2 linked regions of the Rattus norvegicus genome follow. The main gene of each other region encodes a partner of the protein of the gene in region 2 in a complex. Links are inferred from orthologs where the notes say so. Each region holds a gene or a part of one and is shown on either strand. Other genes may lie near its edges. The genes, in order: Col1a1 and Fn1.

Region 1 (4,568 bases), on a different chromosome or scaffold from region 2:
GTGCTATGGTCCCATAGGAGGATGCACTTGCTCTTAGGAAATGTGCTTCAGAGCATAAGGCATGGGCATGTTCTTGCTCATGTCACCAGAGGCAGACCTCTGGGAACATTTTTTTTTCTATTCTTTTTTTTTTTTTCCGGAGCTGGGGACCGAACCCAGGGCCTTGCGCTTGCTAGGCAAGCGCTCTACCACTGAGCCAAATCCCCAACCCCCTTTGGGCATGTTCTTGACGATATGTCTCAAATGGTTGGGAATACACAGAGACAGAGAGAGCTGTGTGTCCAGAAAGTGAAAAAGCAGGTGTTTTGAAGGGTGAACAGAAGTTCTGTGTACCATTGCAACTTTCCTGTAAGTTTATGATTACTTAAAGATACAAAGTTGTGTCTGACAAAACCAAAGCAAAGAAAAACAAACAGGCAAATGAACAAAAACAAAACAAAACGGGGAGTCACATAAGTCTGGGGTCTCCCAGATCTACTTACTCCTCCAAGACCAGGGGGTCCGGGGGGGCCGGGGGGACCAGGAGGACCAGGAAGTCCAGGCTGTCCAGGGATGCCATCTTGTCCAGGGGGGCCAACAGGTCCCTGCACCAAGAAATGGAGGGGGCTGTTATGAACCCAAATCAGAGCCACACCCCCTCCAGGTTCCCAGCTCACTTAAAATAAGATGCTCTTACCCGTGGGCCTTGGGGGCCAGGGTCTCCCTTGGGTCCCTGTGGGGTTGAGGGTGAAGAAACAAGAGGCCGGTTAGAGAACGAAAAAAAAGTTGGAGTTTATTGGAGGACAGTGGGAGTCATGGACGGGTGGGCAAAAGTAGGGGGCAGACTATTACCTCGACTCCTATGACTTCTGCGTCTGGTGATACTGGGGAGAAAAATGTGCAGTTAGAAGTAAATTTGCTAAGGTACCTGGGGTGTTATAGGTTTTCAAGACACAGGGAAAGGAGGGACTCCGACCTCCCTTAATCCTAGGACTAGAACCGTACCATATTCTTCTGGGCAGAAAGGACAGCACTCGCCCTCCCGTTTTTGGGGGTTGGGACAGTCCAAGTCTTCTTTGCATAGCACGCCATCGCACACAGCCGTGCCATTGTGGCAGATACAGATCAAGCATACATCAGGTTTCCACGTCTCACCATTAGGGACCCTTAGGCCATTGTGTATGCAGCTGACTTCAGGGACTGAGCAAATGGGAAGAGACACAGGACATGAGCGGCTCTGAAACCTTACCTGATGCACCAGGGATCCCAGCCTTACTCACCCTTTCCCCTGTCTAAGAGGTGCACGTAGATTTTCCACTTCCCACATCTTTCCCCCAACCCCTATTTTCTTCCCTTAAATCCTTAAATGCAGGTCTGCTCTGTAACGGCGTTCAGTGACAGCACCAAGAAGCCTGGCCAGGGCTGTAACTTCCAAGTTCCCAGGAATTTAAACAAAGCTTTAGGCTGGGGTTGCTTCCAAACTCAACTTCAGCCCACGCGCGCGGGAACCAAATGAAATAGAAGTCCTCCTGACGGAGAGTAGGAGGGCTCCTACAAAGTAGGTGGAGGTTTGTGGGACGTGGTTTGCGGGGAGACCGGAGGCGGGGGTGGGAGGAGAGAAGGGAAATTCCAGCCCTGGTCCCACCTCCTTTCCTTGGGCAGGTGGGACGGAATGGGCGGGGCTAAAATGGAGGAGGGTGACTTCCGTGGAGCCTTGTCCAGAGTAGTAAAATATATCCCTAAAGTTAGATACACCCTAACTCTCCGCTCCCAGGAATCAAAGCTTTCCCGGTCCTTCCTTCAAAGCCAGTAGAGCTTTGGGGTCACTCCTTAGCCAAAGAAAGAACTCAAGTCTACAAATAGCAATGATTAGTTAACCACGCCCACCTCTCTAGCACCGGATCAAAGCAACCACTAGGTGGCGGGCAACGCTAAGCAATGCACGGGGCGGACCCAATTTTACTGGCCTGGGTCACTTTCAAAGACCAAGGCTATCATATCCATCTGTGCTTTTATTTTCCTAGTCTGGAGATGAGGGTCCAGGCCCGGCAATAGCCCAGGTTTTCCCTCTTAAGCCCGCGCGCTGTAAAGTACTGTACCAGGACTCGTAGTGCTCAAGGTTGACCAGCAGGAGGCACAGGGACCGCGCCCAGTCAAGTCTTAGCCAAACTTTCTCATCCAGCAACCCGCCCTCTCCGTGCGTCCCTTCCTCCCCCCACCCCACTCCCAGAGCCCAGCACCCCGGAGGCCCCAGCAACACTGTCTAGCCTGCAGAGAGGGCAAACAATCTTTCCTTATGAATCATCCCGCAGCCTTTTTGATTGCTTTTACATCTTGAGCTTCGAATCTCTATTCCAGAGGTCTTATTTGATCTTCGACGTACTCTGACCCAACCCCTGCCCAGATTCCCACTTTTCCCGTCGCGCTACAGATAGATGCTTGAAATTTCCTGCCGTGCCATCTCAACCAGGGCTCCACTTCTGAGATCTGCTCACTCTCCTCTGCTCGCGAGGGTGACCTCTCTCTTCCCAGTTCCTCTCCATCACCTTCTCATCCCTCCTAACTCTGGAGCACCCCGCGCTTCCGTTTAAGTCTTTATTGCTAGGACCCCTATGCAGAACGCGATAGCAAGAAACCATAACCTCCCCAGAGTTTGGAACTTACTGTCTTCTTGGCCATGCGTCAGGAGGGCAGTGGCCCCTAAGAGGAGCAGGAGCCGGAGGTCCACAAAGCTGAACATGTCTAGACCCTAGACATGTAGACTCTTTGCGGCTGGGGTGGGGGGTTAGCTTCGGCTCATGCGTGGCCTCACTCCGTGTGCCTCCTGCTCCGTCCGGAGGTGAAACTCCCGTCTGCTCCGACGACTGGCCTGGGCCCCTTTTATACCATCCTGATGGAGGAGGGCTGGGAGGAACCCTGCCTCTTGGAGAGGGGGAGCCAGCAGCCCGGCCCCCAGCCAATCAGAACTGCCTGGCCCGGCCCCCAATTTGGAACGAAGAGGGGGGAGGAGGGAAAGGAAGGGAAAGGAGTCCACCCAGCCCCCTCCCCCCTTTGCAATTCTGCCACCCTTGTCCCCCAGATCTACATGGGCCAGAGGTGCTATCACTGAGTGTGGCTGGGCCCTCGATATACTGATTGTGGGTAGGGGATGCCCCTTGCACTTTCCTTCTGGGACCTCAAATCAGAAGGATGTAGAATTGGGAATCTGAGTTGGGGAACATTACAAAGGGTTCAGTGTCAGGCACAATTGGGAAAAGGTCCTCTTGGCCATGTCTCATAGTCTTTCTGGCATCCTTGGGAAGACCTAAGGAAGAATAAGTTAGGCAAGCATCTCTCCAAATCCGAAGAACCAGGCAGCTAAGCAGATGTGACTGTTAGAGGGAGGAGAATACCTCATGGTGTGGGCCCAGGTATGCAGGGTAGGACTATTTGGGAACAAATTAGACATCTCTTCACAGATACTAAGAGTCAGATATGTGGTTGTTTGAAAGGAGTGGGGTGGCTATCTGTTCTGCCATGAATGTGGCTCCATGAAAGACCCACCTTTCTCCAGCCCCAGGTGTAACAGAGGGAGACATCTCTGAGGATTAGGCTTGGGGAGAAGTTTGACATCCTTGTCCTTCCAGAAGAAACCTTCTGCGTTATGATGGGCAGCCGTGTGGGCAGGGGGGTTTCTGAGTCCTTAAAGCTGTGGCCTGGGTCTTCTTGTATAAACTCTTTCCTGACCACCTCCATCCCAGGGCTGGAATTTGCTACAGGAGGCCTGTGACCAGGGATGTCTTAGAAAAAGGTCTTGTGTCAGCTGTGGCTACAGCCAGGAATTGGTTAGAGGCCCTCTTAGGTAGCAGTATCAATCCAGAAAGAGCAGGTAGAAGGCATTGGCCATAGAGCCGTGTTCTCTCTGTAGAGAACCTGCTTTCCTTACTGTACTTGGATCTGGTCTGGGGACACCTAGGTGAACTCGGTGTGTGGCAGAAACTTGTTTTTGGTAGCTGAGTGACTTTATTTGAAGGCTACTCCTCATGTCCTCGCTTCTTTGCTGAAAATCTCAGCCATTGTTCCCCACCTCTGCAATCAGGAAAGGGTCATTTGTCGTCCCCCAAGAAAAGTGGCTTATATTTAAATGTGTCCCTAAAAGACAGTGTCCTTTCTTTCCCTGGGCTCCCATCAACCCTGCAAAGGTGCTCTGCCTGACCCCCACTCTACTTAGGAACTTCATTTTGTTAAACTGTGTGGGTGGCAGGGAAGCATAGGGGTCTCCTCTCAGGGCCCATAGACGTCCTGTATCACTTCCCCCACAGCCGTCTTCAGAGCTGTAAACGTGGAAGCAAGGAGTCCCGCCTCCTCCAAACCATCCAAGATTCCATTGCTCCCCCCCCCTTCACGCCCTCCCTGAGCTAGTTTTGTGCAACGAAGGCAAAGAAAAAAAAATAAAAAAGACCAAGGGAGCAGAAGGGGAGGGAGCCACGTCGCTGGCCGTGGGCAGTTAGGCTAAGCGGTGCGGGTGGGGTGGCAGAGGGAGACTGCAGAGGCTATAATTAAAGGGAAAAATATAGAGTTTCCAGAGAAGCAGAACTGGAGACAGCAAT
Region 2 (4,325 bases):
AGATGACCAAGTAATTTAAAATAGGTACATCCCTTGTGCATATCTTATTGAAAAGAACCAAGAGATCTTCCACTGGCACATCACACACACACACACACACACACCTACACACCTACACACACACACACACCTAAACACACACCTAAACACACACATACACGCGCACACACACACACACACACAGAGGAGCAGGAGTTCCATCTCTGTTTAGATCCATCATTCAGAAGTACAAGAGCTAGCTGAGTGACCACATGGGGTTTGGTCACAAGGATAACAGATGGAGGCAGGGACAGGACAGAGAAAGCGACGTGTATATGTGACCTCCATCATCATATCACCCAAGGCCTTTCTTACTTGCAATGGTACAGCTGATCCTGCCTCGCCCAGCCCCAATGCAGGTACAGTCCCAGATCATGGAATCTTTAGGGCGCTCATAAGTGTCACCCACTTTGTAAGTGTTTCCAGTGTATTTGTCAAAACAGGTCTCTTCAGCTGTGGAAAGGAAAAAAAAAAAGTCCCGTGTGAGTTTCACATACATACACCGCTACATTGAAACTAAAGTGAGACAAATTTCAAGTTAGGCTTTAACAGAACCAGAGCTCTTGACCTTCGGCAAGCTCTCCACTGCTCTCTTATTTATAATGTAAAGAATTCTCAGGAAAAAGCCACACCCTGAGACCAGCTGAGTTGCAAAGGAAAGATTTGGAATTCCAGTCTCAAGCCAGGGAAATCAATTCAAGGGTCACAGGGACACAGTTTGAAGGTTGCCTTCTTCCCAGCAGGCGTTGGCTTTTGTCAGCCCTACTGAAATATTTCCCCTGTATCCTCCCTCAGCAGCCGCTCGGAAGGGCCTGCTGTAATTCACAAGAAGCAGATGAAGGGGCTTCGAAGACTCAGAAACTGCAGCTAACAAATCACTTTACAACTCAGTGCTTCAAAGCAGTTTCTGGTCCATAATCGGGAGCCAGAGATCTGAGATAACTTTCTAATAAATTAAGCCTTTACAAGCAAACTTTTATAAGTTTTCTTTTTGAAGGGAGACATGCAAAACCTTTCATTTTCCAATCAAAAGAATAAAAATGAAGGCTTTGGAAACTAATTTGGATTGCATTTGTTTTAGAGCACGTGAAAAGCCAGGAGAAGAAGTTTTACTAAGAGAGAATTACAAGTGATTCTTAGCAGGGTGGAGGAAAGAGCAAATGTGTTTTTATTTAAAGCATCATTTCTGCCAGGGACCAGACTGCCTTCCACTTACGTTCAGGCTTGCTCTCGCAGTTAAAACCTCTGCTTCCTCCATAGCAGGTACAAACCAGGGCGTTGCCTAGGTAGGTCCGTTCCCACTGCTGATTTATCTGATAATGCTTCCCGTTGTCAAAACAGCCAGCTGTGAAGAATTGAGGGGAAAGTTATGACAGCTTCATCCCTCCTCCCCTTTTTCCCCTACAAAGTTACTGAATTTTGCCAACTGACTTGGTGAGCCTGAACAAACACAAAAACTCTTAAAAAGCAATATTTCCCTAAAATTTTGATGTGGGAGCTAGCTAGTCAAAGATTTAAGCATTGTCTATGCAGATGGACGTTTAGGGTTTTTTTTTTTTTTTCTTATCTTTTAACATGGTTAAAAGTTATACAATGACGTCATGTCCATCTGGTCAGGGGAACTACATCAGCAGAATGGAAACATTCTGAGAGGCAAAAAAGTAGAAAATACTTTTAAATCATGAAAGGCTTCAATCTTAACAGCAACAACATCAAATAAGACAAGAAAGGAAACTTTTAAGTTGGGTGTCCTGGTGACTATGCCAGTAAACCCCAGCTCTGTAGAAGCTGAGGCAAGAGAATTGCTCCAAGTTGAACACAAGCCTGGAGAACATCAGGCTAGCTTTGGCTACAGTGTGAGATCATCTCCAAAAGAAAAAGAGAGAAAAAAAAAAAAAAAGGAGGGAGAACTTTTAAAGGAAGAGTGGGTCTCTGAAAATCTGGAAGAGAAACGCATATCCCTGCTCTTAATGAAGAATCCTTTTGGGGGAGCCCTGAGGTATCCCCCAAAGCACTGAGCTAACAACATCTCTTTCCAGTTGGTAAGAAACTACCTATTTAGATACTTTTCTTCCTCCCCATTTATTAAATATTTAACCAACTATTTACTAATAAGGAAAATAAGGATCGGGGAACTACACTAATCTCAGATGTAAAATTTTTAAGTTCATGTTTCTTTTCTCTTTCACAAGTTTGGGTTCCCGGAAGGGCGAACTGAAGGTGTGGAATTTGTTAGCGCACTTGACGGGAAGGACAGATGGTCCCTGCCTCCACTGTACCCGCAACCAGCCTGCTCAAACATAAGCCCTTTTGTGTCCACAGCTGGTTTCCTTCAATAAAGCGCGCACTCACATACGTTCGCACAGCCACGCACGCGCGCAAAACTTTAGCCACAACTTCTGCGGGAGCCGAGGACCAACCCATCCCTGGTGCCGGCCGGTTTCAGCCAGACTGTCGGTACTCACGCTTGCTCTGACTGACAGCCACCGGGGACGGAGGCTGCACGATTTGCTGAGCCTGCCTCTTGCTCTTCCCGGTTTCGGTGCAGCGCACCGATGTCCCCAGGCACAGGACTGCTAGCAGCAGCAGCCGCCCGGGTCCCGGACCCCTGAGCATCTTGAGTGGATGGGAGGAGAGTCGCCCTCTCCAGGAGGCTAGTGGCCACGAAGTGTGGTTCCCCTCGCAGCCTGCAGGAAAAGTCCTGAGGTGGGGACGCCTGTAAGAAGATGGAAGGAGGACACGGGAGAGGACCAGAAGTTGTGGCCGCTGGCCCGGCTCACACCCTGGGCTCCTTTTCTTCCCCTGTGCAGTGCAGCGGGTGCGAGCGGCTGAGCCCCAAGAGCAGAGGCTTATATGGGACAGTCCCTTCCCGCCCCCCCACGAGGCCCTGCGCGCCGGGGAGGAGGGTCCCGTCCGACTCCCCCCGCCCCTCCTGCCGCCGCAGCCGCGGCCGACCGCGCGCCGATTGGCCCGGAGTCCGGGTGACGTCACGGGGTACGGTGGGTTCGCCCCGAACAAAAGAGATGCTGATCTCCCGCCAGGTCTGGGACTGGAGAACTTCCCCCCCCCCTTTGGTTTCCTTTGCGGTCGTCAAACTTTTGGGAGGAGGATTGGGGGTAGGGATGGGAAACGGCTGTAAAGTGAAGTAGACTCGGAGGAAAGGGAGGGAGGGGCTGGAGCCGACTGAAGCCTGGGGGTAGGGGACAGGTTTACCCCCTCGTCTCTTTCCTTTTTTTTTTTTTTTTTAAATTGGTGACCGTGGTGGTGTTTGAGAACATTGCGTCACCTCTGAGAAAAGTCTGTGCTCACCGGGGTGTATTTTGTGGGAAGGGAAAAAGTCGTTAAGTGGCCACTACCTTGTCCCTGTAGGAATCCAGACTTCACTTTTGCAGCCCCGGGGCAGGGCGGCTCTTCCTGGTGCTTTTCCTGGGTCCCGGGCGCCGCCTATTCGGTGTTAGGTAGGCTTAGACCCCGGTTTCTCCATGCAGTACCTGCTTGGTTTCGAGGGAGAGCCCCGGAGAGGGTGAGCGCGTGTCAAAGGTGACCCCTTCCCTGAGCTTCTACAGCCCGGGGTTGTGCACGGCGCCCTGAAGATTCCGGGCAAACTCACAAGACCAAGTCTCTCTGCAAAGATGAAGCAACAGAAAGTTTCCTTTCTAAGTCATGAAACAAAGTTTTCCTTTCCTGGGATTGGGGTGCCCGTTTCTTTTAGAAGGCCTGTGGTGAACAGCTTGAGAGGGGGGAAATTTGAACTGGCTGATGAAGTTGGGGAGAGCGGGTAGCTTTAGGTCCACGCCACGTTCACTGGGCCATTTGCACTCAAAGCAGAGACCTAGGTGGCCTCTGAAAGAGAGCTGGGGTGGGGATGGGTACAAAGACTATGTCTTGCCTTCCTCCAGCCTTCCCCGGAATTCCCTTGCATGTATCTGGGCGTTTATTTTTTTTCAGATTTCACAGTCATGGCAGAATTCCACTATCCACCCCCTCCCTCGCCGCCAGATTTTTTAGATTTCAATTGTTATCTGCTCCAAGAATGTATAAAGTTCCACTGAAAAGTCTCCGGAAATTCTCCGGACTTTCTACACTACTGAGATTGGAGCGGGGATAGGAGACGTCCCCCTGAAGCTCACAGCTCTAACACGTTGGTCTTTTTTTTTTTTTTTCTTTTTTTTTTTTTCTTTTTTTTTTACCTTTCAGACACACACAGCCCAGTTGCTGTGCTTCAAAATGAGAAGCCCACTATTTTCAAAGCAGCAGGTCTGAACTCCAAACTTGGCTTTCTCCTT

The links.
Region 1: the proteins of Fn1 (region 2) and Col1a1 are in contact, whole or in part, in a crystal structure (PDB 3GXE), measured with the Homo sapiens proteins. The link is inferred for Rattus norvegicus from reciprocal best matches to the Homo sapiens genes FN1 and COL1A1. Residues at the interface, in NP_997647.2 of Homo sapiens: Asp516, Gln517, Lys533, His535, Glu537, His539, Leu541, Gly549, Arg550, Gly551, Arg552, Trp553, Lys554, Cys555, Pro557, Gln560, Phe569; in NP_000079.2 of Homo sapiens: Leu261, Pro262, Gly263, Met264, Lys265, Gly266, His267, Arg268.

What each region holds. Positions count from the first base shown.
Region 1 is NC_086028.1:80,378,720-80,383,287, reverse strand, and holds the start of Col1a1 (collagen alpha-1(I) chain precursor), read right to left. Parts: upstream 2,831-4,568; 5' UTR 2,720-2,830; coding exon 2,644-2,719; intron 1,180-2,643; coding exon 985-1,179; intron 864-984; coding exon 832-863; intron 713-831; coding exon 677-712; intron 585-676; coding exon 483-584; intron 1-482. UniProt on the Homo sapiens protein: Type I collagen is a member of group I collagen (fibrillar forming collagen).
Region 2 is NC_086027.1:80,711,274-80,715,598, forward strand, and holds the start of Fn1 (fibronectin precursor), read right to left. Parts: upstream 2,865-4,325; 5' UTR 2,656-2,864; coding exon 2,505-2,655; intron 1,385-2,504; coding exon 1,256-1,384; intron 493-1,255; coding exon 355-492; intron 1-354. UniProt on the Homo sapiens protein: Fibronectins bind cell surfaces and various compounds including collagen, fibrin, heparin, DNA, and actin. Fibronectins are involved in cell adhesion, cell motility, opsonization, wound healing, and maintenance of cell shape.